Lonchura striata: one gene and its partners. The protein of the gene in region 1 purifies or fractionates together with the protein of each later gene. This does not show direct contact. Links are inferred from orthologs where the notes say so. Each region holds a gene or a part of one and is shown in the gene's direction. Other genes may lie near its edges. The genes, in order: RPA3, RFC1, RFWD3 and SMARCAL1.

The links.
Region 2: the proteins of RPA3 (region 1) and RFC1 purify together in Homo sapiens (affinity purification with mass spectrometry; 3 studies listed by BioGRID and IntAct, with this or other methods). This does not show direct contact. The link is inferred for Lonchura striata from reciprocal best matches to the Homo sapiens genes RPA3 and RFC1.
Region 3: the proteins of RPA3 (region 1) and RFWD3 purify together in Homo sapiens (affinity purification with mass spectrometry; 5 studies listed by BioGRID and IntAct, with this or other methods). This does not show direct contact. The link is inferred for Lonchura striata from reciprocal best matches to the Homo sapiens genes RPA3 and RFWD3.
Region 4: the proteins of RPA3 (region 1) and SMARCAL1 purify together in Homo sapiens (affinity purification with mass spectrometry; 3 studies listed by BioGRID and IntAct, with this or other methods). This does not show direct contact. The link is inferred for Lonchura striata from reciprocal best matches to the Homo sapiens genes RPA3 and SMARCAL1.

Annotation. Positions count from the first base shown.
Region 1 is NC_134603.1:131,398,579-131,405,942, forward strand, and holds the start of RPA3 (replication protein A 14 kDa subunit), read left to right. Parts: upstream 1-4,353; 5' UTR 4,354-4,425; coding exon 4,426-4,524; intron 4,525-5,376; coding exon 5,377-5,451; intron 5,452-7,345; coding exon 7,346-7,364. UniProt on the Homo sapiens protein: As part of the heterotrimeric replication protein A complex (RPA/RP-A), binds and stabilizes single-stranded DNA intermediates that form during DNA replication or upon DNA stress.
Region 2 is NC_134606.1:22,850,560-22,857,384, reverse strand, and holds the start of RFC1 (replication factor C subunit 1), read left to right. Parts: upstream 1-3,804; coding exon 3,805-3,966; intron 3,967-4,281; exon of another isoform or gene 4,282-4,381; coding exon of another isoform or gene 4,382-4,414; intron 4,415-6,825. UniProt on the Homo sapiens protein: Subunit of the replication factor C (RFC) complex which acts during elongation of primed DNA templates by DNA polymerases delta and epsilon, and is necessary for ATP-dependent loading of proliferating cell nuclear antigen (PCNA) onto primed DNA.
Region 3 is NC_134615.1:15,889,163-15,896,114, forward strand, and holds the start of RFWD3 (E3 ubiquitin-protein ligase RFWD3), read left to right. Parts: upstream 1-3,943; 5' UTR 3,944-3,985; intron 3,986-6,119; 5' UTR 6,120-6,121; coding exon 6,122-6,501; intron 6,502-6,952. Other genes in the region: MLKL (mixed lineage kinase domain-like protein), read left to right, coding at 223-307, 707-855, 1,053-1,102, 1,563-1,703, 2,784-2,836. UniProt on the Homo sapiens protein: E3 ubiquitin-protein ligase required for the repair of DNA interstrand cross-links (ICL) in response to DNA damage. Plays a key role in RPA-mediated DNA damage signaling and repair.
Region 4 is NC_134610.1:14,692,040-14,699,807, forward strand, and holds the start of SMARCAL1 (SWI/SNF-related matrix-associated actin-dependent regulator of chromatin subfamily A-like protein 1), read left to right. Parts: upstream 1-4,768; 5' UTR 4,769-4,871; intron 4,872-5,210; exon of another isoform or gene 5,211-5,280; intron 5,281-5,706; 5' UTR 5,707-5,796; coding exon 5,797-6,658; intron 6,659-7,334; coding exon 7,335-7,385; intron 7,386-7,768. UniProt on the Homo sapiens protein: ATP-dependent annealing helicase that binds selectively to fork DNA relative to ssDNA or dsDNA and catalyzes the rewinding of the stably unwound DNA. Rewinds single-stranded DNA bubbles that are stably bound by replication protein A (RPA).

The DNA of each region.
Region 1 (7,364 bases):
CCTCCAGTCCTTACGCTGTTAAAATCACCAGCCCAGCACTAAGAAAACAGTACCTGCTATATTTTGTAACTGTGAATGTGGGGAGGTGGTATAAAATCCACATATTAAGAAGACTAACATATTTAGTGTTTCCTTCTCTAGGAGCCTGTTAGAAACAAAAGTTGTGCTTGTAGATCTCGGGTCTTTGAAAGGTATGTGGAATGAAGAGTTCACATACTACTACTTTCAGCATTTCGGTAGCTTTGTTGAACACACCATAAAGTATAAACTAAAAAGCAAAGAATGACTGAAAAAACAGAGTGAGGGGACAGAAACAAAAAATAGAGCTACATACAGTCCAGCATGGGTAAGGGAAAGACTGTAAACAGGCAATGCATTTGTGATGCTCTTTTAAGAATCTTATCAACTGTGCTACTTCAAAAGTAAACATAAATCTCCCCAGCAACGGGAAATGCAACTACTAAATTTCTTGAATCACATGTTAAAAACAGAACAAAGCCCCTACCCAACAAAGAAACACAGAGCTGAAAGGAAACACTCGTGCTCTTGAAGATAAGGACACATTTTAAGCACTTGCAGAATCAGGCTGCAGTTTTACTACTTGTAGATAAGATGATGTTTCAGGTAATGAAATCTCAGAACAACCAGCTTCATACAAGTGTCATTTCAGAGTAAAAATTAAAATTTAAGTTTGGAGATCTGGGTGCATGGTCACACAGACTTGAGAAAAAAAAGCACTTAGTTGTGAGTTTTTTAAAAAAAAGCTGTCAGCACATAATCACAGAAAATACACCCGCCGTTCAGAGATAGTACCACATTCCTACAGTCATTTTTCCTATATAGCACAGCACTTTTCCCTTCCAGATGGGATTAATTTTATTTCTATAGGAGACCTGAAATTGAATTCACTGCCTAAAGATAAAAATCTCCCTTGGTAGGAATATGCAATTCCCTTCCTCCTCATGTTTCTCTCTCACAAAAAAAAGTGAACACAATCGCTGATAGTTAAGAATAATGCTTTTGGCAGAGCTTCAGTCATTAGCAAATAATAAGCTCTGAACAACAGCAATTCTGTGAGGCTGCAAAAAATATTTTGTCTTTCTGTGAGGCTCTGAGAACATACGTGGCACTGGACAAAGATGAGTTACAGAGCTGCACAAAGGGGTTAATTTATTCCTCCTGCATTTTGTCAGTCTCCTTTAACAAGAACTATAGGTGACCTTTGAGCCAAACTAATATGTTAAATCCAATAAAATTTTTCTATACAACAAAGATCTTAGTATATTTACGATTACTTTTCAGCCTTTTCTGAATGTTTACAATACCAGAGGAGAATCATAATTTAATGTTAAAAACACCAAAGATGCAGACTAAGATGAAGAGACAATACCCAGTAATACAGCAAAGCAGAATTGCAGTGGCACTGCCAGTAATTACATAAATGATGAAATGAGGACAGAAGAAAACACAAAACTGACCTTAAAGAAAGAACCGGAATAATTTCACATCTAGCAGCTTAAGAGAGACAATCTATGGAAAAAGAAAACAGAGCATCAGAGCAATTCTCACTTCCATACTACCATCTGCTGTGATTCACCAATAAAGCAGCAATCAGAAAAAGAGCAAGATGTTTACAGCCCTGTACAATCCTTCTTATCATGAAAACAACCAATTTAAGAGTCAAGAATATGTGCATTGAAAATATTTCTCCATGACACCAAAAGAACAGCTTAAAAGCTTTTGACCCAGTGTAAGTTACTAAATGAAGAAGGAAGAAAAGCCATATGATTTCTTTTCTCTGGCATTAACATTAGTCACGGTTATTTAGTTTGTATTCTTGAAAACAGAAGAACAGAAAGTATCACAAGAAACACAAATTTAAAAAAAAGAGATATATGTATAATGAAACATTAACAAAGATTTTTTTCTGTATTACATAAACTGTTAGTATTTCTTTTTAATGTTTTTATAAAATTTAGGGAAAGCAGAAATACAAGAACTATATAACCCAAATTACCATAATATAAAAAACACTTGAAGAGGCTGAAGCATAAAAAAATCAGCCACAACCAAGTGAGACAATAAAACCAAAGGTGAGAAAAACAAAGCCAGGAATGAAATAAGAGCACTTAAACTGATGTAAACATTCAAAACCCTGAAGACAGGAAATGCAAAAAGAGAAAGCTAGGGACAGGCTGAAGCCTACTGTTTCCCCTTCAAATAATTTTCTTCTGATTGCAAAGTTTCAACAGCTACTGTGGTAAAGACACACATTTGTAAGAACTTGTACAATATGTTTTTATAGACGTTGACCCTTCAAACTCCTCAGCCCTAGAAGGGCCACTGTGCAGCAGCCTGCTGCACCTCACTCCAACAGCTACAGTAATGAGACCTCTCCTTTCAAATCTCTGAAGATACGTTATGGAGATGAGGATATTCTCTTGCAAATGAAATACTGAACAGGTGAATGTCACGGTGACTCTGAGGGGATGGCAAGCAGCTCAATCTCATATAAGATTTAAGTCCAGAGCACTCCCTGGTCACATGCTGGCTCTGCACAGCTTCTGGCAGTAGCTTGTTTCCTTGGCAAGCTGACACAAGCTACTGCCATATAACACTACCCCAGCCAACTAACAGAAATCACTTGGTGCTGGTTAGCAAGCTGGACTGGCCCGAGGCTGGTTAGAAGAGACAGTCGGCACACAGGCGGTTTTGTGATTGCCCTTTGAAGCCAGATCAGAGTTAGATTTTCTCAGGTATTTCCTGAAACACCAGTCCTGGAAAAGAAAAGGAAATCACAGCCACAGAATGGCTGCAATTGAAAGGGACCTTCAGAGGCCACCTTGTCCAACCCCCTACTTAAGGAGAACCATCTTAGACCTGGCTGTTCAGGACTATATCCAGGTGGCTTTTGACTACCTCCAAGGATGGAAACCCCACAACCTCTCTGGGAAACCTGTACCAGTGCTTGGTCATTCTCGTGGTGACAAGTGTTCCCTGATGTTCCCTGAGAAACCTCCTGTGTTTCAGTACTGGGCATGACTGAATAGAGCCTGACTGTCCTCCTTGCACCCTTCCTTCAGGTATTTATATTCATTAATAAGAGCCCTCTGAGCCTTCTCCTCTCTAGGCTAAACAGTTGCTTCTCTCTCAGTCTTTCCTCATATATAAGATAGTCCAGTCCCTTAATCATTGTTGTGACCCTTCTTTGGCCTCTCACCAGTATGTCCACTCCTGCCGTCACACCCAGCACTCCAGGTGCCCCACCAGTGCATAGCAGAGGAAATCAGCAGCTCACTCCACCTGCTGGCAACACCATTTCAAATGCAGATTGGGAGTCACCTTTGCCACAAGAGCAATCGGGAGGAACCTCTCCACACCAGGGATCAATTGGGAAAACACATGGAAAAAGAGAAGATGCATGCCAGTGCCACGTCCAGATGCTATATCTGCCTTACATCCGTCAGTTTTTCTCAACTTCGGGGATTGATCACCAGCTCAATTTCAGTGATGCAATAAAATGAAATTAATAGAATAGCTCACTTGGAAAGAATCTACAATGATCATCTGGTCCAACGCCTGGCCACTTCAGGGAGGATGAGAAGCTAAAGCAAGTTATTAAGGGCATTGTCCAAATGCCTCTTAAACGCTGACAAGCTTGGGACGTGGACTACCTTTCTAGAAAGCCTGCTCCAGCCTACCCTCTAAGAAATGCTTCCTAATGTTTAACATAAACCTCTTCTGGTGCAGCTTTGAATCACTGCCATGTACCCTGGGATATCCACTGGATACCAGGCAGAAGAGATCAGCATCCTGTCTCTGCTTCCCCTCCTCAGGAGACCGCAGAGTGATGAGGACAACCCTCAGCCTCCTTTTCTCCAAACCGAGCAAACCCGAAGTCCTTAGCCCTTTCTCACGGACATTGCCTTCACCAGCTTTGATTCCCTTCTCTGGACGTAGCTGCAGAGCCCAAAACCACACAATATTCCAGGTGAGTCCACACCATTGCTGACTACAGCGGGATAATCACCTCTATTTGCACTGCGCTTGATGCACCCCAGGACGACTCTTGCCCTCCTGGCTGCCAGGGCGCGCTGCCAAAATACACCGGAGCGGAACCAGGATCTGAGGGAGGGAAAACGCCGGGAAGGGGAAATACGGGGCGATTTCAAAGGATTAAATGACAGGACAGGGCTGGAAGCTGACGGCCAGCTCCCCCGGCCTCCCCGGGGCTCGGCCCCGCCGCCCTCCCCGCCGCAGCAGCACCGCCAGCCGCCGCTCCATCACCCACCCTCCGCCGCCGCTCTCACCGGCCTCCGCCTCCGCTTCCGGGTCGCCTCGGGCGCAGGGGAAGTCCCGCCCCGGCCGCCGCGCCCGCGGGGCCGCCGTCCCTCCCTCGGCGGAAGGCGGGAAGCGGCTCCAGCCATGGGTGACGTCCACGAGGCGCCGCGGCCGCGCATCGCCACGGGGCAGCTGGCGCAGCACATCGGGCAGCCCGTCTGCTTCGTGGGCCGCGTCGAGAAGGTCCGCGGGGCGCTGGGCGGCTCTGCGGGCGGGACGCGGCTGCCGCGGAGCGCTGTGCTCGGAGCCCTGCGCTCGGAGCCCTGCGCTCGGAGCCGTGCGTGCGGAGCCCTGCGCTCGGAGCCCTGCGCTCGGAGCCGTGCGTGCGGAGCCCTGCGCTCGGAGCCGTGGGCTCGGAGCCGTGCGCTCGGAGCCCTGCGCTCGGAGCCGTGCGTGCGGAGCCCTGCGCTCGGAGCCCTGCGCTCGGAGCCGTGGGCTCGGAGCCGTGCGTGCGGAGCCCTGCGCTCGGAGCCGTGCGTGCGGAGCCCTGCGCTCGGAGCCCTGAGCTCGGAGCCCTGCGCTCGGAGCCCTGAGCTCGGAGCCCTGAGCTCGGAGCCCTGAGCTCGGAGCCCTGAGCTCGGAGCCCTGCGCTCGGAGCCGTGCGTGCGGAGCCCTGCGCTCGGAGCCCTGAGCTCGGAGCCCTGCGCTCGGAGCCGTGCGCTCGGAGCCCTGCGCTCGGAGCCCTGCGCTCGGAGCCGTGCGTGCGGAGCCCTGAGCTCGGAGCCGTGCGTGCGGAGCCCTGAGCTCGGAGCCGTGCGTGCGGAGCCCTGCGCTCGGAGCCCTGCGCTCGGAGCCCCGCGCTCGGAGCCCTGCGCTCGGAGCCCTGCGCTCGGAGCCCTGCGTGCGGAGCCCTGCGCTCGGAGCCCTGCGCTCGGAGCCTGGCGCCGTCCCTGCGGCAGCTCCGGGCGGCCTGGGAGCAGGGCGGGAGGCGCGCGGGGCTTGCGGGAAGAACTGGCTGAGGCGGCCAAAGCTGTGCCGCTTCCGGGAGCCTTTGGAGCGCACAGGCCTTTTCTAGACTTAGATGTTCTTTTGTAGATTCATCCTAGCGGGAAGCTTGTCGTGCTTGCGGATGGGCTCGGAAAGCATACGACTGTGGAGCTGAGCGAGCCTGTAAGTTAAGGAATGCTTTGGAAATACTTGATGCCGCCTCTTGTGGAATCCGGAGGTTTTGTCTCCTCTGAAACCTGCATATGAGGTTTTGAGTTATTCCACCTGTATTTTATTGTCTCTCTTTTTTGCATCTTATAGCTAACTTGTAGTCTTCTTACCCATGAACTGTCTTGGTCTTGATCAATTTTTAGCTGGTGTTAAGTGACAACTTATCAGACACATCCCTATCTATTTTGTCTTACTCTACTAGTTGTTCACTAATATATTCCACTAAGTTTATTAGCTTTCTTTCAATTTCAGTCTTTCTATTTTCTTATTGCTTCTATAATAAAAAAGAACATAGTGTTTTCAAGAGTTTTTTGAGTTAACATTGTTGCATCCACTTAGAACACTTGTCATAGCATTTCAGTACACTCTATAGTTAGCTTGAAGCATTCTTTCTTAAAAAAAATCCCAAGCAATGAATGCAACAGGTATAAGATATAATTAGAACTACTGAACAAAAATACTGCCTCTTTTGTTATCACCTACCACTGAAGTAAGAATATTTCGGCAATCTCTTCTAAGTATGTTTTGTCCACCAAGAAATGTTGTAATTAAAGAATTATTTTAATTGTGATGGCAAATGCTCTAGCTTGACTCAATGCATGTGTATACTTACATCTTTTTCTCTGAATGAGTTGTTAAATGCTGAGAAACATTGCCATTTCCATGGGCAATAATTGTATATGGTACTCTCTCAGTGTTTTAAGACAAGAGTCTGTCCTTGTTGATGAAAACTGCAGTTTAATCTGGCAGAGTTTTGTCTTATAAATGTGAAGATTGCTGACATCAAACTGCAACAAAATGTCTCTTACCTTTTTCTTGAGTTCGTGAAAACATTTCCTGCCTTGGGTTGTTAAAAATTCAGATGTTAGCATCTGACCAAGGATTCTATAATATTTTCTCTAACAGTGTAAGTGGTTGAATTCCATAAATGCAAAGCTGTAGTGCTGGGCACTTCAGTCTGTGTTCCACTGCCTTGGGAGAAACTGGTGTGTGCAAAAAACCGAGGCCAGGTTCATCTCTCCAGTTCACCCAATGTCGGTGGGGAATAGATTTGCTAATCAAACTTTTTTCCCTTTCAATGTATTTCATTCTTTGTGCGTGTCTAGTTCCCTCTTTCAACAGAGGACCCCAAAATTATAGGAAGGGAATTTTTCCAGAAGACTTACTAGAAAGTAAAAAATAAGCCTTAGATATTGGAAGAGCATTACCAAAACAGTACTCCATTGTTAAAATTTTATCTTAAAAACAAAGAAGACATTCAAGCTGTATTAATTTGGCATAAGATATAATTTTTAGCCTTTTTTTCCTTTGTTCAACCAAAGACTTGTTAGTGACAGTATCTTTGTATTCTGAACACATACTTAAGAAATTATTTCCAGATATACCTTCTGCATGTGGAACACTGGAACTGCTCTCTGGAATGTGTGATACCTCCTTAACTCTTCCAGGGTTTATAATTGACAGGTCTGAATGAAGTGCATTAAAATCAGAATTGTTCTCTCTCTGTGTCCTAGATTAGTCTCTGTTCAGTGATTATATGACACAGTTTTATATACTTATGAACCAGTATCATTCCTTGGATCTTGGATGCATCTTTGCTTTTTTTTTTTTTTTTGTTGTTGTTGGTATTGAATTGGCTATTACAAAATCTGTAAATCCCTAAGTGGATCAAGGTTTTTGTGGGTTTTTTGGGGGGAGGGTGACTGGGCTGTCCAGTAGTACTGTATTGTTTGATGTGGAACAGAATCTGTCATGAAGAAACCATCAGTTGTGGAGAGTTCCTCGCTGTGCAGTAAAGACAGCAGCTATTTAGTGTTACTAATTTCATCTTTGGTGTGTTTTCTAGCTGGATGAGGAGATTTCAG
Region 2 (6,825 bases), on another chromosome or scaffold:
TTCTTTCTTTTTCTACGGAACAGCATTTAAAATGCTGTTTGATAGTTATTGCATTAACATAATCTTTCTATTTTGACATTTAAAAGCTCTGATTTTATGTATCCTACTTCACAAAAGAAAACCCAAATACAAGTCGTTACCGATGTCTTACACTTCTAAAGCAGCTAGTCATTGCCATCGTTACCAGATGCTTGAGCTCCAAGTACCCACAACAGCTCTGTAACCCCATGGGCAATCTGTGGGCAAGGGAAAGACAACAGGCTTCTCCCCACTAAACGCAGCAGCGTTAGTACCACTGGCACAAGGATGCAGAGCGTGTTGCACCTGCCTGAGATGTGTAAGGTGCAGCAGAGACTGGTGCTCTCAGGTGCTTGGTCTGTATAAGGTTATGAACTGTATTTCTTTCCTTATTACTGACATGATTGGGAGCATGCTGTAATCATGGTTTGAAAGTGTTTTAATGCCTCAAGCCTCTGTGAATCCAGTTTCTTACTGCTTGGTCATATTTAACTGTTTGGGCTGTAATATAACTTCATGAAGTTTTAAAGAGGAAGCAGCTTAAGTGACGAAAATCGTATAATGACTTGAATTTGGAAGGAGTTCATTACCTGAGCAAAGACTTGGGGAAAAGAAATACTGTTAATCTGGAAAAGCAAATTTAATTTGACTATTAAAGCAAATGTTAATTTGACTGTTCTTAATTTGGAAAGCAATCAGCATGGAAGAGTGAGATGTGATCAGGGGGTGTTAGGAAGTGAGGGTGTGAAAGGAGGAGAAGAGAATTAATGATTCCACTGGCTCAAGTGGCAGAGTCAGGCCAGGCTCCAACCCTGGTGCTGTATGAGGACATACAATATGATGCTGCACAGTGGGATTTCCTGCCTCTGTCCACACACCTAATCAACTTGGTTTCAGAATGAATCAAGATTGGGAGAAGCTGCAATCTGCAGGGCACTTGCTGATACAGATTCAGGAGTTAGGAAGCCTAATGATTATTCAGTTCAATTCTTACTTATCAGATTTCCTTTTCTTCTTTGCCTTTGCCAAGGCATATGATTCAAATTAAGAAAACAATTTTTCACTTGGCTCTTGAATATGTAGTCTCCATGTTTTGGGGCTTGCCTTGAAAACTTGGGGTTTGATCTACAGAAATGATGAACACCTTAGTTGAAAGGACAGAGTTTTGAATGTTAGACTGAGTATCAGTTGACGCTGATATGTAAATGAAGAAAAAGACCTAAAGACAAAGTTCACTCAGAAGAAGTGTAATGTTTACATTAACATCAGCTGCTCAGACCTACTAGTTTTAGGTGCTCAAAGAAGCACAACTTATGTAATCGCCCACAACAGCGTCATGCAAATCCCTTATCTTTACCTTACACAGCTAAAACTGTTTGAGATGGGATCAAGTCTTTCTAAAGACACATAATTGTGATGAATACTATCGAAAGCCCAATGTAAATAGAAACTACATCACAGCTTTATGAAGAATTTTTGGAATTTTCCATCTGTAACAAAATGCTAATTTCTGCTTCTACAATGCCTGAAAAAAATTATTTTCTTTACTAGAGAGTCTAGTAAGAAAATATTCCTTATGGGATTCCTCCAGAATAGAAATGACAATCTAGTAAATTAGTATTTTAACGTCCATTATTACTACAAAAACCCAGAATTTAACATGAAATTTCACTTTAAAAATTGGTTTCAATTCAAAAAAGTATTAATGTATCAATATACAAAAATGTGGAAATAGAATAAACAAGATATTAACAAAAAGAAAACAGACAATTTTTTATTTCTCAGTACAAGAAAATGTAATTTTCTTATTAAAAACCTCCTCTCTCAATAAGCAAGACAACGATTTCACTAATAATATTAACAGTAGGTCTGGGCTTATATAGGGGAAAAATCTCAAGTTCAAGATTTAATATCTCACTTTTTAAAACGTATTTTGGAAAAAACCAACAATATAAAACAAACAAATAGTCTGTGGGTTTCAGCAAGGTAGAAAACAATACTAATAATGCAAAAATTATTTGTCACACTTGCCAATGGAGTGGAGAAATCAATTGTACTTTAGCTACTTTTTAAAAAGTTGTAATTTTAGTTGGGTAATAGGCCTTTTAAAAAACACTACCCATGATCAATTATAGACTCATGGGATTTTGCCTTGATTTTACCTTGCAAAGCACATCATAATACATAATAATGAGTATTCAGTTTTCTTTCCTGTGGTGGAGCAAAGTTTTTCCCACTTCCACTGGTTCCACAGGCATGTACATAGGAACTGAGGTATCCTGTGTCTCCCCACCATAGCCAGGAGTGAATTGTAGGCATTCCAGCTGTTCAGTCTGATGTCTCCACACAGGGTTGAACTCTTGCCTTCCGAGAAACATGAAGACATCATGAACCCACAAACAGATACTCCTCTGCTGGCTGTTACTCTAGGTAGCTTTATCAACTACAAAGAGAGATAACCACCCGCAATATCTCCTCTAGCAGTATTTGAACTGTTTGGCTCTTACAAATATCAGCCATTTAAACTGATCTTTACTTCTAGTATGAGGAACAGCACAGCTTTCAAAGTTACATAACAAGAATTAAATATGTAAATACAAATTTATCACTGGAGATGTTTTTCTAAAGCAATATCGATTTTGTTTGCGTAGCCATTATGTTGAGTGCATATGGAGTAACTTGCAAAACAGGCCAAAAAGCACAGCCTGTGCTGTGGGTCTGTTTACTTGCTCACTGTGTTCCTTATGCAGAAACCCAAATTCACAAGATATACTATTGCTGAAAATACACGGGCCCACCTAGCCATGTGTGTTCATAAAATAAAGGTAGCAGTTTCTGTATAAACAGGACCTTACAGTTACTTAAAGTCCAATTTCAAGAATTTAACAGGAACGGTAATAGGTATCATTAACAGTGTGTGGAATGAGACCATGCCACCAAGCAGGCAGTGAACACAGAGAGAACACAAGCGACAGCATTAGGGATTGCAGTACTTATACTGCAATTATATACATACAAATACAACTACCCATTGAGCTTGTACTCTGGTTGATTTATTTTTTTCTTCGATGAAGGGTCTCCCAAATCACCGGCAGTATTTGTAACGTCACAAATTCAGTTTGTCTTCCCATTCTTCTCCAAGTCCAACAATAATTAGCGATTCAGTAGGTTGACAGAATCTAAACAATATACAATATTTTAGAGTGGAGTAGTTTTTATTTGGCTTGAAAAAATTTATCCCCTTCCAGCGTTCAGTGTGCTTAGTGGAAGAAAATACACACTATTTCATTAGAAATAACTTAGAAAATTAAGCAGTCAGTAGCAGAATCACAACGCTAATTAATTCCCTGGTTTCTGTCGGACTCCTGAGCTCTCCCCAGCCTTGGCGCATGGGAGAAAGTACCATTAGAGGAACCAGACGCTCGGATGGGCAGGAAGCTGGGAACTATCACACGTTTATCACCAGTTTACGAGCAGGAAATGCCTTCCAGCCGCGCGGACCCGGGGCTGGCTGCCCGCCTGCTTTGGGAGCTGCGTGTGCCTCAGTGCCCAACACAGACGGGAGCCATGGCGGCCTGGCACTGCTTCCCCGTCTGCTTTCACCCAGCAGCTCGGCTGTCGGCTCGCCCGCTCTGCCGGACGCGCCCGAGCGCTCGCGGCTCTCCCGCTCTGCTGCTGCAGCGCTGCCGTTCCCGCCGGCACGGGCCGGAGCCCCGCGGCAGCGGTTAAACCCCTCACGGAGCGGCCGCACCCGAGCGGGCCGGCTCCCGGGCGGGCGCCGCTGCCATGAGCCCGGCCCGGGGCACGCCCCGGCCGGCCCGCAGCCCCGCCCGGCGCGGCCGTGACGGCAGCGCGGCGCGCCGGGCGGCGGGAGTTGGCGCGAAGGCGGGAGCATGGAGCCGGCGGCGTCCCGCTAGGCACGGGGAGCGCGCCGCCGCCGCCGCCATGGTGAGGGGCTCCGCCGGGCCGGGGCTGTGCGGGGCGGGGGCGGCGCGCAGGTCCCGCCGGCCGGGCGCGGCTGCGGCGCCGTCGGGGCCCGGCGCGGGCTGAGCGAGCCCCGCGGGCGGCCCCGGGCGCGCAGCCCCCGCGCAGCCCGAGCGGCTGCGGCGGAGCGGCCGCCGCGCCCCGCCCGCTGCGGCCGGGGCTTCCCACGCGTGCCAGGAGCACGGGCCCGCGGCCGGGGAAATGCCCGTGCCCGGAGGGGGATGTGGCTGAGCCCTCCCGGTTTCGCTTTCCCCGAAAGCGGGTGGGGTGTAGGGCGCGGGCCGCGGCTCGTCCCGGGAAGGAATGCGGATGAGCGAACCTGCGGTGAGGTGAAGGCGCTGTGCCGGAGCGGTACTTCTTCCTTTAACCCAGCGGGAACATGCACGAGGCGTTTCTGATGACGAGCTGGAGGGTGCGCAGTATTTGCCGAAAAACAATTCGATGGGAGGAAAAAAAGAGCTTAAAAGTTTATCGATAACGACGCAACCCTCAATAGGATGTAAAGAGATTTTAAGCATAAACATAAACGTGTTCCTATGCTTTCCAAAGTTCCGCTCATGTATGCAGTGACCATAGGATGGTATCCCCTTTTCATTTCTGGCCAAATGAGTTTGCTTTTATTCTGTGCACATCTTTTACTGGCCTAACTACAGGTGTCATTTTGCCAGTTAAGGCGCAACTCTAGTTTTGGACTATCCAAAGAGTTTAAGCTTGTTTATAGTTTATGCCTGGTGCTCTGCAATGGTGGGTGATACAGTCTGAGTCTTCTAGTGTACTGACAGAAGTCTGCCAGCACTAAGACTCCTGACACTATTGAACTGTGATATTTTCATTTGTTTTGAGCTGGCTGATGACTTCAAATTTATGTAAGAGATCTGCCTCTCCCATGCCTCTGCTAACACCTTTATAGAAAAGTGACCTTCTTGGAAGGCTTGCTTCCTCCTTTCCCACCTTCCCAGGACAAATTCTTCCTCTGTGTGATCTTCTGAACGTCACACATCTCAGTGTCTGGGCCTGTCTTAGAAGGGACGAAAACAGCCATCATTTTGGGGAGGGTAAAAGTTGCCTCATCCCATTCCCTTTTCAGTGCTGAAGTGGTTACTCAACCATCTCTGCTGCAGCTGTGGCGGCAATAGAGGCAGAAACACAGTGAGTTACTAATGGTGCAGACTGTTCTGCTTGTGCAGTGACAGCCATGAGCTTATTGCAGTCAATGTCACACCCTTGCAAACTTTTCTCCTGTAGTGCCAAGTGTAAGTAGCCCTGTTAGCTTGATTCTGCAGCATATTCTCATTGTGCTGAGCTGATGTGTGAAGAGTTACACAACAAACTGATTTGCATTAGAAGGGATTTATTTTTTCACCCAGATTAGTGGCCATGTCCCAGTTCCCAAACAGCGAGCTAAAGTGGTACACCCGAGGGAGTGAATGCCCAAGAGTGGGGGTTTCTTGAGTTTCCCCTTCAGAGAGTGACACTCATGGCTGGAGGAGGAGCATCACTTACAACTGTGATACTGTTTGTAAAACTGCTGCAGTTACCACTGTCAGTAACTGTTCATTAGGTGTAGTTACCCAAGCAGGTATTACTGGTTTCACTGAAGTGATAGTATAAATCTGATTTTAGTTAGTGCAATTGTTCTGGAGGTGCTGAATGTCAGAGCTGATATGGGAGCAAAACTTGCACTGAAATAGGCAGAGTAGAAAGAAATATGACTGTTGTGGTGCAAGGCCCTCATTGAGACACACAGAATACCTGAAGTACGATGCATTACTTTCTACTACAGTCATTGAGTTAGGTTGGTGAAGTTCAGTTTTCTATCTTGTATTTTGAGGTGCAGACTGGATTATGTGATGTAACTTTGGAAAATATTCTGCCTTACTAAACACTAGTCTTGTAAAAACACTCCTGGAGTTTCCCAGTCTTTGTACTACCTAACAAATTGGTTTCAGTTTCTGTTTGTGTTACTCTCCCCGGTAAAAAAATAAAGACATACAAATCTTCCAAGAGAGAACTTGCAGCCTGGCATGATTAATTACTGTGGTCTTCTGTTACAGTGTGAGATGGAAGATTTAAGCAGTAGTCAGAGCAGGCAAGGACTAGATGGCAGAGCCATACAACTCTGAGATAGCTGAGCAGCTTTTTAGGCTTTTCAGATGCTAGGCATCAATCACCTGACTGAGAGTGATCAGAATTCTTAGTTACAGCTCCTACCAGATGGAGCTGCTCAAAGTTATTCCTTGCTGGTGCTGTGCTGAAGCAGCCCTGGGGAGCCAAAACACCAAAAATTGCCTATTTTAATTTTAGCCTTTTGGGCAAGGGAACAGCCATGCTGGTTAATATCTCCAGGATACACAGGGCACATTGCTGTGAGTTTTGGGGGTATGTCCTGGAAGGAAACTTGACAGCTGCAGCCTTTCCTCATTGGAACAAGGATAGGTAAAAGCTAAACATGCAGATTTTCCAGCTGCTGGTACTATATATGTATGGATGGCATACCAATAGGAAGGTCAGTCAGAGTATGTTAAATAGATAAGCCCAGGATGGTGAAAAGTGGTCCTGTCTGGAATCTAAGTTGCTATGATAGATACTTATGTGGCTTGATTTCTGCAATTAGTTATGCAATGAATTAATAATTTGTCTGGCATGCCTTTATAAAAAGCATGAAAAATCTGTTTAATGATTCCCGGATAAAACCTTCACTGAAAGGTAACTTTGTTGTTGGCCCTGAGACATGTTTTTCTCCCAAGCAATTCTCTGTTCACTGTGTTATGTCATCAAGGTAAACTTTTCCTCTGAGGAGCAGGATAACTGAAGAAGATTGGT
Region 3 (6,952 bases), on another chromosome or scaffold:
TTGCTTTGCCCACAGCAGCTCTTCCAGCACCTGCTGGAAAGGTTGGCTTGGCAGGGTTGATCCACCAAGACAGACAGAGAGCTGCTGGCTTCTCTGGTTGCATGTCAGTCACTGCCTCCATGGCAGGAGGGAGCACAGAGGTGGGCATGGGTCAGTCCATCATCATCATCATCATCATCACCATCATCATCACGTGTTGCCCTTGGTTCCATCCATCTGCAGGTTGCACCAGACAGGGGAGAAATCCCGACTCCACGGCTGCATCTGCAGCAGCAAGTTCCTGGTGGCTGGGGATTACTGTGTGAAGGTAAGCACCACACTTGGAGATGCTTTTGGGAGTTTTGAATGGTTTTGTGGATGTCTCCCTGCACCAACACTGAAGGGAACTGTGATGGTCCAGATAAAATTGGGTAGTGGCATCTCTCCTATGACTTTAGGCACTTAAACCTCCCTATCTTGGTCTTATCGTCAACCAAGTGAGGGTTCCTAAGGCATCCAGCCTGGAATGAGCTGAAGCTGGGGTGATTCACCTGCCTTCACCTCTGGTTTTGCTTGCAGGAAGAGATTCGTGCTGGGCAGCACACACAGCTGCACACCAGCCTTTACTGCTCAGGGCATCTCGCTCTGTTTTCTCCATCTTGGGGCAGTCCCTAGCTGCACCACAGGTTTCCACTCCTCCTTTTCTCTCTCTCATTCTCTCAATCAGCTGTCAGGATTTGAGCTGTGTGAAACAGAATCATCCATCAAGAGGAAAGCCAAGAAGGACTGTAAACAAGTCTCTATGTTGGCCTACATTGCTCCAGAGAACCTGAAAGACATCAACTACCCTTACAAGAGGCCCTGTGAAATATACAGGTGTGTCTGCCCTCCCAGGAGATGCCTGTGAGCAGGCAGGTGTCTGGCAGAGTAGCTACTGAGCTATGGAAGGAGGCCAGGTTTAATTTGACACACAAGCAGACGCTTCCAGTTGGCACAGCCTAACAGTTCTCTCCAGTAAAAGGGAGGAATACACGGTGGAATTAATACTAACAATCTTGCTTGTCTCCTTCCAGCTTTGGGATCGTTCTGGCAGAGATTGCAACCTCCAAAATCCCATTTGAAGGTGAGACAGAAGTATCTGGTTCCCTACATAAAAGCCACATGACACAGTGTGGTTCCTGTCTGGCACTGGATGCTCCCTGCTCCTTCCTTGAGCATCCCATGCAGGTGCCAGTGGCAGTGCCTGACAGCTTCATAACTTCTCCTGAAACTACAATATAGTGAAGTATTGCTTGTAGTAAAGCAACCTGCTTAAACCACAAACATGCAAATAATTTTTGTTTCTATTGGATGTTTCTGGGCATTTAAGCGTGAACACATCTTGCTCTACTGAAGCCCAGCAGTGTCATGCCAAATACAGTGGGGTTCATTGCAGACAGAGTTTGGGTCACTTCCCTGCTGGCTTCTCCCTGCCAAAGGCTGCAGGCAGGCTCTTGGCATGGCTTTGCACTGGGTTCCTCCCCAGCACCCTCCTGTGGTAGCAGAGCTCCGTCCTGACACTCCTGTTTGCACTTGTTCTCTAGGCTGCACTCCTGAGGAGATCGTGGAGAAAATCTGCAGTCACCATTACTGGGACCCTCTTGGGGAAGATTGTCCTGAAGACCTGAGGAAAATCATTGAACAGTGCCAGGCCTTTGAGCCTTCCCAACGCCCTTCTGCCGAGGGTAAGTGTCCCAGACACCTCCTCCACAGGCCCTTTGCATCCTTCCATCAGCTACTTCAGCAGGCAGTTTGTCCCTTATTTCCCCTATGAATTTGCCTGGCTTTGTGTTTTGGGATCCTGCCTTGACCTTTCTTTGTATGCTAACAAGTCCCCCAGTTCTGGACCTCACACATTAACATTTATTTACCCATGCCATGACAATAATCCCCAGGCTGTTTGTGCATTTGGTGTCATATAAAAGTAGCTTTTTCTATCAGACAAGTAGGGGTAGGAAGTAGGGATCTGTGAGTTATCCCTATTCAGGTCCTGCAGATCCCATAAGTTGGAGGAGCAGCCACAACACTCTGCAGGAACATCTCCTGCCTTGAGCTTTAAGCAGTAAATCCCAGTCTTGGGCATTGCTCTATGACAGGGAAGTTTTCACTGCCTCTGAAGCTGGTTTGTGTCTGATCAGATGAGTAACTGGTCTCCATCAGGAGATACAACAGCAACATCGGGAAATTATAGAGGAATATTTCTGGTGTGTTTGAAGTAACAGAGGTCACATACTTCCCTTGGCTCATCTGTCTAAGGGGAGAAAACTTCCTTCAATTTCATCCACTCCATCCTACAGGACCAGATCCATACAAGAGATGTGGGAAATGTGCCCAAGAAACCACTGAATGTCACATTTCCCACCAGTATGGCCCTGGCACAGGGACTAGCCCTGGCTGAAAAAAACCCGCCAAAATATCATTAGAGATGTTGACAAAGTCACATTGAGGAAACAGAATGGCTTTATTACCCTAATGTGATCATAATCCAACACCTACCACTGTGTGGTGCTGAGCTGGAAGGATGGTTTATTGCAGCTGTTCACAAGGGTGTTTCCATAAACACAGCTACTTCTGTTTGGGCTGTGCTGTCTGCTCAGGCCTGTCCCCTGCTAATTCCTGCCTGTTTGTGCTGGCCCAAGGAGTGTGACTCTGTGTCCCAGTTGTCATCAGTGAGGGAAAGCCATCTTCTCATCTGTTAAAAAAAAATCCAAACAAGCCTACCAGAAATCCTCTGTGTTCGTTAATGCCATCCTTGTGTTTTGCAGAGATTGTGGACTCGCTGGCTGACCTGGAGAAAAGCAGAAACCAAGGAAGTTAACTGTGGAAAGCGGGGCTGGGTGGCCAGAGGCAGCAAGCCCCGGGGTGCCCCTCGCCTCTTCCCTCACAGAGACTGATGGTTCAATGCTCCCGTGCTTGTTTCTCTGTGTGACACCTTCTCGCCAAGGGGCCCTGCCTGGGGAGAGAGGTGACCTGAAGAGAGGCTGCCAAGAAGCCTAGGGGGACCAGAGGGATGGAACATGGCTTCTTTTAGAGGAAAAACTGAGGGAGTTGAGCCTGTTCAGCCTCGAGAAGAGACTGACTGAGAGGGGATCCATCAGCGCCTCTGTTTGAAGAGAGACTTCAGAGGATGGACCAGGCTCTGCTGGGTGGCACCCAGCAATAGGACAAGAGCCAAGGGCAGAAAATGACACATAGGAAGTTCTAGTTGAATATGACAAAGAACTTTTTTCTGTGTGGGTGATCATACGCTGGAACATTGCCCAGAGAAGGTGTGAAGTTTCCCTCACACGATATCCACTGGTGATATTCCAGAGATATGTGGATGCAATCCTGTGAAACGTGCTCTAGGACAATCCTGCTTGAGAGGGAGGTGGGAGCACATGACTGACCGTGGTGCCTTCCAACCGGAGCCATCCCGGGATTCTCCTCCGCCCCGGCCCTGCCCCGGCTGCCCTGGGGCCACCTCCGGCTCCCCGTGGGGTCCCCCCGGTTCCCCCCAGAGCCTTCCCGGTTCCGCTCGGCTCACCTCGCGGATCTCCCTGGTTTTCCCCTGTCCTCCCCAGCTGCTCCCGGCCTCCCTGCGGGCCCCGCCGCCGCCATGGCAGCGCCCCGCCCACTTCCCCCGGTTTGAACGCACTTGTCTTCCCGCTCTTTTCGCCACGCGGCGCTCGGCCAATGACAACCCGCTCCCCTGCTCTTGCCCCGCCCCTTATCCGTCAGAGGCCTCGTTGCCCAATCAGCCGGTCTTCACTGCGGCGCTTTGACCAATCAGAGCACGCTCTACCTCCCTGCCTCTCGTCCCGTTACTCTCAGTTGCGTTAACCGACGGACAGAGCGATTAGCCAATGAGAAGGCGTAAACGCTCTGCCTCGCCCAATGGCAGGCGGCGCGGGGTGTAGCAGCCAGCCAATAGGGCTGCGGGGGCGGGGCGGCGCGGCGCTCGAGCGGGCGGTTGGGCCCGGTGGAGGTGAGCGCGCGGCGGCGGGGCCGGGCGGGGGCTCGGGCTCGGGCTTGGGCAGGGTCCCGGGTTCGGTCCCGGCGCTGCTCCATCCCCGGGGCCCGGCCGAGCTCTCCAGCACAGCGGGTTTCCTCCGGGCGCTCGCACTGCCTGCGGCTGCCGGATGGGCGAAATCCCTGTCCCGTGCCCTTGTTATGGCGGGTTCGCCTTTAAAACACGCGAGCTCTGTGACAAAGGCGGCAGAGCATCCGCGCTTGCGGAGCGCGTGTTTCGCTTGGGCCGCGCCGGGGCAGTTTTGTCTTGGTGATTTCATGGTGAGGCAGGTGCGGCAGAGCCCTGCGGGTGCCCTCGCAAGGGGAAGCTGCTGCCCCAGCCCGGGGGCTGCCGGCCGGCCCGGCCCTCTGGGAGCGCCCGGAGTTCCTCTCTTGGGCCCGGGAAGGTTTGTGCAAACCCTCCATCTGCGGGCTCTTCCCGGGCTGGCTGAAGGGAGGCCTGACTTGATAATTCCTCGGGCCAGATTCCAAGATTTAATCGTGAAAATGGTATTATGAACGCTTTTATAAATCTCACAGTTAATGTAGGTAATGGAACGTGTTGCCCGGTGAGGTTGTGGATGTCCCAACCCTGGAAGTGCTCCAGGCCAGGCTGGATAAGGCCTGCTGGGAGGTGTCCCTGCCCTTGGCAGGGGCGTTTGGGACTGTATCTTTAACCCTTAACATGATTCTATGCGGTGAAAATAAAGGGTTTATTACAGTTTTGGGTAGCAATTCTATCATGAACATGAACGTAGTACTAGAGCTGGAGTACTTCATCTGGCCATGCAGCTGTTCTGGTGGGAAATGGTAATGTCTATTTTTGGTCTGGCTTAGGCTGAATTGGTGATCAGGATAAGAATTATGAAATTGATAAGTTAGAATTTTTTAAAATATCTGTAAAAATACTTGAACCTTAGTACAACCTCTTTTATTAATTTTTGTATACATTTTCTAGCTACTTTTTATACACAACTAGCATTTGCTCTCTTTATGCAACCTTAGCTGTGTTAAGTTTTACCAGCTTGGTAGAACTGGTGTTTATACTTTGGACTTCTAAATAGTGCTAAAGATCTGCAATTCCCAAGGCTTTTCAAGTTTATTATTGCTAAGTACTTTTTGGAGAATGTGAATGATTTCCAGCTGCTCTCAGAATTTAATCCACACACCTCTTCCAATAAAGGACTTTTGAGTTTTTGGTGAATCTGTTCATTCAGTTACTGAGACAATCTTGAACTTTTTTGTGCTGTAAGAACAGTGTGACCAAAGTGCTCTTAATTTGGTGGCTGACAGCAGCATGAGAATTAATAATGCACAAACTGTTGTCTCTATTTTTCTTCAAACCCTAAGGTAGTACTCCTGTTTTGGAGGTAACCTGATATCCATATGCCAAAGATGTAGAAGGGCAGCCATCCTTAATATATATGCAGTTTTACTGAAAATTTCATGTTTATCCAGTCTTGGGCTAACTATGGATCCACAAATGCTGATGCTGCAGATAACTTGGTACCAGTAATGTCTCAGTCGCATGTTCTGCTGTCATGCCCTTTCTGGTTTTTTCTGGTGTTAGTAAATACCTGCAGGGCTGTTCAGTGCACTGTGGGTAAGGGTCACAGTGATCTGTTACAGTAAGGCAATTTTGTTTGAAAAAACTTGAATGTCGGTCGAGACCAGTGCAGCAAAGGACTGTGTCACAGAGCTTGTTCCTGGCTGAATCTGTGGGTGCTTGTGCAGTGCTGCTCAGCCAGGAGAGTCTCTTAGATATTTCCAACTGTTCCTCAAGATCCACATGAATTTACTTGGCAAGTAAATGATGGCAGCAAGAAAACATTAACTCTACATTCTCATCCAAGTGCTTATTTAAGTTGATTTTGCAATGTGCTGACTGCTGTCAAGCCAAAGACTTGGAGCCCAGGACTCTGGGAGGGTGCTCCCAACTCACATGTGTCTATTGACTTGTGGTTTAGCTCTGCTGCAAAGGACAAATTTTCTCTTGACTGAATTCTACAAACGTTTTTAGTCACTGAGTGCTGTACCTGGTTCTTGCTACCATCAGGCTACAAGTAGAGTACACTTAAAAGTAAATAGTTGTTTTCTTCAACTCCTTGCAGAAATGGCTCAAGAAGAGATGGAAGTTGATCTCCAACCAGTGGCTGGTTACTCAGTGGAGACCCTCCAGACACTCCCCCCGGAGCCCTCTGCTCACACAGCGCTCTCGTCCCACGTTCCTGTGCTCGGGGAAGGAGGAGGCAGCGCTGCAGCCCTTCCTGCTGAGGATGCTGTTGTCACAGCCAGTGCAGGTGCAGGGGAAGCACCTGCAGAGCCTGACCTGCAGACGGGTCCTGCCACGGCCCCCAGTGGGCAGCAGAGGCTACAAGGGACGTTGGATCAGTACCAACCACTGCCCGTGCCACAGCTCACACAGCACCCGCCAGTGAGGAGAGCTCGCAGGCAGCAGAGAATTGGTGGTTCCCAGAGGACAATCAGTGCCAGGTAAAGCAGAAACAAAATTGGGTCTGAACTGCCCCCTGATCAAGTCCAGCATCAGTTCAAAATGTCCTTGCTTCCTGGCTTTCAGAGCCCAGCTCAGGTGTGTGGCTAGGGCCAAATCCAGAGTACCTCACTTAGCTTTTAAGTTCAGTAATAGCACAGCGACTTCTGGTCTCTTCTGGCATGTTCTTTGCCCTTGTTAAGTGAACCCCTTGTTCCATATGTTGGCAGGGGTGATGTTGACTTCTGAGCCCTTCTACATTTTGAATTTTGCTTGCAGAGCTTCTGCTACTGCTGTTCCCTCCGCACAGCCAGATTCCTGTCTATGATTCCTGCTGATTCTCAACAGTTCCAGCCAACTTTTAGCTCAGTGGAGCTTGTGCTCTGGTTTTCATTTCACCTTTGGTTTGGGGTCTGCCTGATTACATTTGCTGGTGACAGTTGCTGCAGAAAC
Region 4 (7,768 bases), on another chromosome or scaffold:
TGTTGGAGGGGTTGTACTATAAACAAGAGCAGGAAGGCTTCAGCATGCCAGGGAAGAACAAGCTGTGTAGATAAAAGAGGCTGCTTCAAAAGAATGGAGAGTGACTAATTTTTCTTGCACTGGCTGGCCAAAAAGCATGGAAAAAGAAGTGGTCTTCACTGAGCTGGCAGTCAGAGTAGTGGAGCAACTTTCTCATGCTAGAAAAACTCACTGAAAAGCCTCTGCAGGTGCACTTTCATCAGAGTTTCAAGGATAGCAGAATTCAGCAAATTTTGTCCAAATTTTGTCTTTGGTCCTACAAAGATGCTCAGGGAAAGGGCCTAAGGCTGACAAATGGGCCAGGAGGCCATGGTTCTCAATGGAAGAGGGAAAGTTGAGGGGATTTACAGCTGTCTAAGAAAAGAAATCCAGGGAATTGTAAGAGATTCAGGGTCAGCACTTCTCCAAACCCAAGCACACCCTGGCCTTCCAAGCCCAGGGCTTAAATTCCCTATTTGTCGGCTTTTACCTCCTTGAGAATCCCAAAGCAGGGCAGAGGAAACATAACCCTTCAGCCTACAGAGGACAGGTCTTGTAAAGAGCATTCAGGTCAGACCCTAGCACCCCAAAATAAAGGTTTCTCCATCTGGAACAAGCTCTGACACTCCAGAGGCCTTTCTCTGACTTTCCTGCACCACAACCTTCTCTTAAAAGGTGACCTGTACGTCCCCAGTCCAACCACTTGACTGGTCTTAGCTATGTATGAACTGATAACATGGGATTAATTTATTTTAGAAGGTGCAACTACAAGTTCTCTGCAGCTAGTCAAAGACTGGTGTCTCTGAGCTCAGTAAGGACTACCAAAACCCTCCCAGAAGCCTGGGCATCTCAGGATCCTTATCCTGGGCTGATTTCCAGTTCTCTGTTGGATAACATTGCTACACACAGCAGCCCTGCATGCAATTCAGCCCCAGCAGAGCATGCAGGCTGGCCACACATCGAAGAGGAAGTGAGCTCTGTTCATGTGGAGAACTACCAAGGTGTATTGGCAAAGTGGTAAAACGGGGCAAATATTTTCAATATGACAGTAGTAAGACCTCTAAAGAGCAGCCTAAGACCACTCAAAGGATAATCCATGAGATTCCAGAATGGCTCCAGAGTCTGGGGAGACTCATAGTTCAGATATTAGCTGCTGCTCATATAAGATGCACAATACAGGCAGTTCTGTCTCATTTGAAGCCAGCAGTCAGCCAGCCCAGCCCCTGAAAGGAGGTTTAGAGCATGATCCAAATGAGACAAAGTTCCTCCTAAGAACAACAGTGAGAATCTCATTAACTTTTTTCACTGGTGGGAGCATTTCTTTGGAAGGATGTGAACCATTTTCTCTGCAGCAGAGCTGGGGTGCACTATCCCTCCCAGGATTTTCACTCTGCATCTCTGCTCCTGACCCAGTATGTGGAGGGTGAGTCCAAGCCACTGCTGGAAGCATGTTCTGACTGAAAGGACACCTGGAGTGCACCAGCAAACTGCTTGCAAGTGGCCTCTCATTTTGTAGGTCTGTTCTCTGCATGGCCGGGCTGTTCCTTGTGTCTCGCTGAACTTGTGCCATATGGAGCAAATGCTTCAACGTCTGTCTGTGTCTGCCTGACCGTGCAAGCCCAGAGCTCTCTGCAAACCATGCTCTGCTCTCAATATTTGCATGAGCTGGGGACAGTCCTTGGATGGGGCTTTTCTCACTCTTCCCAAGTTGCTGGTACAAGATCTCTCAAAGCATAAGGAGCCATCTCTAGAGACCTGGAACTGGGTAGCTGCTGGCAGGGAGAAGGTGCCTGGAAACAGTTGCGGGGTTATGCTCGGCATGTTCCCTCTCTCATCCATATGTGACACTGGGATCTGGTTTAGCTCTGGGCAGTTAAAAGTGTGCCAAGAAAGAGAGAAAAAAGGTCTCTCATCCACTCCTTTCTCTCTCTGCTGTGTAGCCACCTGGCGTCTGCTGGCTTGCAGGGGAAGAAAGGGCAATGGCAGAAGATCTGGACAGGGCCCATGGGGCTATGCAAACATGCTCTGCAGCAAGAGGACCTGAAACGTGCAAAAAGGTTTGATTTTTTTGCTTGAGAGAAGCTGGGACAAAACCCTGGACCCAGATGTCTCCTTAGCCTTTAGCTTTCTTTAAAAGTGGTGTGTTTGGAAGTGCCTGCATGCATGTGGTGTGCTCATGCCTGCATGTGATTCCCAGGTGAGGAACAGCACTCTCAGGGTTGTGGTGTGTGCTGAGTTGCACCTCACTCTTCCTGCCTGCCTTGTTTTTCTCAGGCTGACAAGCTCCTGACTAATGGCAGTCGCTGCTGCTTAATCAGGAAGCAATTTAATGATAACCTTTTCTAATTAACTAGAAGAGAAGAATGAATAAACTGTAAAACAGCCAGCTGGCTTTAGTGTCCCGAGCCAAAGGGCCTGTCAGGTGAGAGAAAATGGTGTCTGGGGACAAGGATGGCAGCTCTGGGGCTGCCACTGGGCAGGGTAGTGAAGTTCTGAGATGGGAGGGGATTATGGTGTTCCCCAGGGCCTTTTCTCTGCTTTCTCCCCAGCTACTGCTCTGGTCACCCACATGAGGAACATGACAGTTCAGGAAAGGCATCTTGACATGTATGATCAAGCCCTATGTACAATTAAAACCCTGGGAGGCCCTTTTATTTTAACTGATGCAACTATGAGTAATCACCCTATTTTGAAGATGTGCACAAAATCATAAACCAGCCCAAGCTGGAAAGCACCTCAAAAGACCATCTGATCTAACCCTTTGTGGGAAAGGGAGCCAAGATGAGGTTTTCTATCATTCTGTCCAATTGGATCTTAAAAACCTTCCACGATGGGGGTCCCACTATGTCCCTGGGGAAGTTGTTTCAATTATTGATTGTTCTCAATGCAAAAAAATTCCTTTCTCATTTCAAGATGACACCTCTTCCAGTGTAATTTCTTGAGCGGCATAGGACACAGTGTTACTCCCTGAGGGACTGCACTTGTGACAGGCTGCTAGTGCCAGTCTGCATAAAAACCATTGATTGCTGCCTTCTGCTGTGGCCTGGAAGCCAATTCCCTACCCATTTCACAGATCCCCCCGCTTCAGCCTATCTGGTCAACTCATCCAGGAGGAGGCCATGGGAAATATGGTCAAATATTGTGCTGAAGTCCAGGTTAACAACCTCCACTACTCTTCCCATGTAGACAGAAAATGTCATTTAGCTGTAGAAAGTTATCAGATTAATCTTCTGTGATTTCCCTCTAATAAATCTGTGCTGGCTTTCCCAATCACCTACTTCATTTGCTTTGTGATTGTTTCTTGGAAGACTTTCCAAGGGCCTGGAGTAATTCTAATGGACCTGTTGTTTCTGGTGTTCTGCTTGGAGAAAGCCCTGACATCTCTCCTCTTCCAGCCTCCAGGCACATCCCCTCATCTGCCTGGTCACTAGTAGTGTCTCCAGGGATCAGTGTTGGGCCTGGTCCTGTTAACTGGCAATCTGGATGAGAGGATCAAGTTCACCATTAGCAAATTTGTGGACTACACCAAGTTTGGTTGGACTGTCACTCTGCAGAGAAAGCTGGGCATGTTGGATAAATGGGCTGAGACTGGGGTATGACATTCAACATGACCAAGTGTCAGGCCTGGCACTTCACCCACAATAACCCCAGGCAGTGCTACAGGATGGGGGCAGAGTGGCTGAAAAGCTGCCCAGTGGAAAAGGACCCGGGGGTGCTGGTTGACAGCAGCTGAACATGAGCCAGTGTGTGCCCGAATGGCCAAGGAGGTCAATGGCACCTGGCCTGTTTCAGGAATAGTGTGGCCAGCGGGACCAGGGCAGTGATTGTCCCCCTGTACTCAGCACTGGTGACACATCTTGAGTGCTGTGACCATTTCTGAGCCACTGAACTCAGGAAGGACACTGAGGTGCTGGAGTGAGTCCAGACAAGAGCTGTGAGGGCTCTGGAGCACAAGTACTGTGAGGAGCAGGTGAGGGAGCTGGGGGGGTTTAGCCTGGAGAAAAGGAGGCTCAGGGGAGACCTTATCAGTCTCTGAAACCACCTGAAAGGAGATTGCAGCTGGTGCAGGCAGCCAAGGACAGGATGACACAGCCCCAAGCTGCACCAGGATAGGTTGGATATTAGGAAGAATTTCTTCACAGAAAGGGTGATCAGACATTGGAACAGGCTGCCCAGGGCGGTGGTGGAGTCACCGTCCCTGGAGGTGTTTAAGAAAAGCCTGGAGGTGGCACTCAGTGCCACGGTGTGGTTGACATGGTGGTGTTTGGGTGTAGGTGGGACTCGATGATCTCAGAGGTCTTTTCCAACCTGCCATCACCATCGATATTCAAAAATGACAAAGCAGCCTTGCAATGCCAGCTGCTGCTCCTAACCCCGGGGGCACACTCCATCCTCACTGCTGACAAGTGCCGCCACCCGTTCTCGCACACCAGCTCCACTGCCGGCTCCCCGCTCAGTCACCATTCAAAACAGCACACACCGGACTGCCAGCCCCACACACCGGGGCAGCCAGCGAGGGGGTCCGCCCGGCCGTACAGCGCTGGGTGCTGCCTGGGGCAAGGCTTCAGCCAGGGGCCGGCAGCAGAGTCCCCACACGCCGTACGGGGGGTGGCGAGGGCGGCCCCGGGGTCCCGGCTCCCTCCGCGGAACGCCGCAACACCAGCGGCCCGAGATGGCGCTGCCAGCGGAAGACTACATTTCCCAGCGCCCCGCGCCTCCCGCGCGCCGCTCTTATCTCCCGGCGTGCTGTGCACTCCCGGCCGCTCCGTGCCGTGCCGTGCCGCCGGGCGGGGGCGCAGGGCCTGCTGGGAGCTGTAGTCCCTCGACGGTGCTCCGGGCTGTGCCCGCCGGCGGTGAGCGGGCGGTGAGCGGGCGGCGGAGCCTCCGGGGCGGGCGGGGAACAAAGCCTGACCTCCGGGACCCCGGGGCGGACGGGCGGGTGGCGGTGCGGGGGCCCGAGGGTCGGGGTGGGTCGGGACCTCCGTGGAGTTTGGGATGGGAGCCTGGTTTCTGGGAGAGGAGGGGGCAGAGTTTGAACGCCACCGGCCGCAGGAAGCTGAGGAACGGAGAGGGCGGGCGGGCATCCCGCAGGACGGGGGGCAGCGAGCGCATGGAGCGGGGCGGGCTGCCGGGAGAAGTCACGGGAGCCAGCGCCCCGCTTCTACTGCACTTGCGAACAGATGTGTCCCGGGAGGAGCTGGCTCTGCCCTGTGGGGTTCAGCATGTGTCTGCCACGCTCTCAGAGATACCCAGGAACCGAAGGTGAACAGGGAAAATGGGCATGGTCCCGTCTTTCATAAAAGGTGCCCGCAATAGGACACTTCCACCATAGGCTGTGCAGGGATGTAATCCTTTGCCTCCAGGTGCGTTTTCAGGGCTGGCTCTGCAGTGCAGGGTGTCCTCGTGCTTTGCTATTTTATTAGTTCTGCTGGGAATTGCAGAGAAGAGTACTCAGAACAGTAGTGGAATAGTTTTCTCTATTTCTGTATGTTTTATCCATGGAGGATTGGCATGCAAGGCCTCATCAGTGTCTGACACCATGTACTTGCTGATAATGGCTCAGCACTGATGTGACAGCTTTGCTGTGCTACGAGATTCATGTAGGATTAGTTACAGTAATACTCAGCCACTAACAATACTAAGTTATCAATACAATAATAATTTGTTCTTTTTTTTTTTTTCCTGTAGACTGGCCTCTCTTCCTCTAAAGAAGCAGTTGCCTCTGTGATTAATTCCCAATGTAGTTTTGGTACAGATTTGTTGTTGGAATTGTTGAAGATGTCATCGGGCCTTACAGAGGAGCAGAAGAGAAGGATTGAGGAGAACCGCCGGCTGGCTTTGGCTAGGAGAGCAGAGAGGCTGGCAGCCCAGGGAGCTGGGCACGTGGGCATCGCTGCGCCTCCGCAGAAAGGGCAGAGTCTGGGCAATCTGGGAAGCTCGAAGGAAGAAAACAATCATGTCGGGTTCACCGGCCAGCACCGACAGAATCCAAACACGCCTGTGGAGCAGAGGAGCTGTCTCCAGAAAGGCTACAACCATTATCCAGCAAACCAACAGATGGCTGGCTCACACAGAGAGCAGCAAAAGAGTTGTTCAGAGGACTCGGAACAAACAAGTGGCCTAAAGCAGTTCCCTGCTATGATCCCAAATTCTCTGAGTTATTCCCATAAACATTACTTGGATGCTGGTAGTCAGGAACATGGACAACACACTTCAATTAATCATGGAACATTCCAGCAGCCCAAATGCTGCCCAGCTTTCAAAAGCCCCACAGGACCACCTCATCCAGGAGTCACTGATAATGGGCACCCTGATGGCAGTAAAGATTTACAAACTCAGAACAAATCTGCCATTAAATATGTTTCACCACCAAGCAGTGCCACCCTGAGCAATTCAGAAATGCTGATAAACATAAACAGACCGACAGAAAGAACAGGGGGAGGTTTTGTCTCTCAGGCCAGTGGTGGCATGCAGAAGCTGACCAGCTCTGCTGGTGTGGCCTCTACCTTTGAAAGTCACAAGAAAGCAAATGTTACAAAAGGAAAATGTGTGAAATACGGGGAAGACCGATTCCAGGTTGAAATAGGCTACAATGCTGAACTTATTGCTGTGTTTAAGAAGGTACCAAGCAAAGCCTATGGTAAGAATTGTTTATTTTCTGTTATCTCTGTTTTAAATTGGGTTGAAGTTTTGGCATCTGCTGCTATTGTAGTATCTTACCAGTGCACCTATTGCTGGGGTGGAATATATGGCATTAATGGGGGATTAAAGAAGTAAATACAGATTAAATTGGAGAGACATTCTGGACATAAATAGCTTGAGCTTGGATTTAGAAAATAAGTCTGAAGCCTTGCTTTATAAGCAATGCTCTGAGAAGTTTAGTGGCAGCAGCTGGTCAGTTTGTTGGAAGTGAAGGAAACAAAGTTATTCATAAACTGGGATGTGAAAATGGGTCACTTTAGCTATAGTTCGGAGTTATGAGCTGATTGTTTCCTGGGTTACAGAGAGCAGTGGAATCTCTCCCTTTTGTCTTTCTTCTGATCTTTTGCCATTATCTTTATTTGTTATATTCTATTTTTATTTTCCATCATGTGTTGCTGATCCCTGTGAATGGCTTGTCTTAGTAGTCATAATCCTCATGGATTTTTCTGGTGTCATGTAGCTGTAAACTTGGGTATAATTGTTTTTCAGATGCGTGGCAAAAAGTTTGCCTGAGTAGATTGGATACTTTTACCTCGCATGAACATTTCACGTCACCACTTTTTTTCTGCCCCAAATGATTGATATTCTGCCCTATTACTCTTGCCCTACTTTAGATCCTGCTATGAAAAAATGGAATTTCAGCATGGAAGATTACAGCAGTGTCTGTAAGTAAATGTTGAATGATAAAAAACAAGCGGAATCTTGATACCCCCCCCTCCTTCCCCTGCTTTCCTTAGTTGTTGTTGAGCTTTGTCAGTGTCTTGAGTAATAAAAGTAGTGCTACTTAAAGATAATGCCCATCTTTTAGGCATCTAGCTCATAACATTTTTCTGATACTTTGTAGTTGATTAGAAATAATTTAATTTTTCCTGTAATCTAAATACCAAGCACAGGTGGCACTTTCCCTACCATTGAATTTTTCAGCAACCAACAAGATCATAGGAAAATTATCTGCTGTGCTGGTGCTTGTTTTGAATTTGTTTTGAAAACTCAGTGTGTTCCAGTGGCTAATGCTTAATTTCTGGGTCCATTCATGTATTTTCTTTTT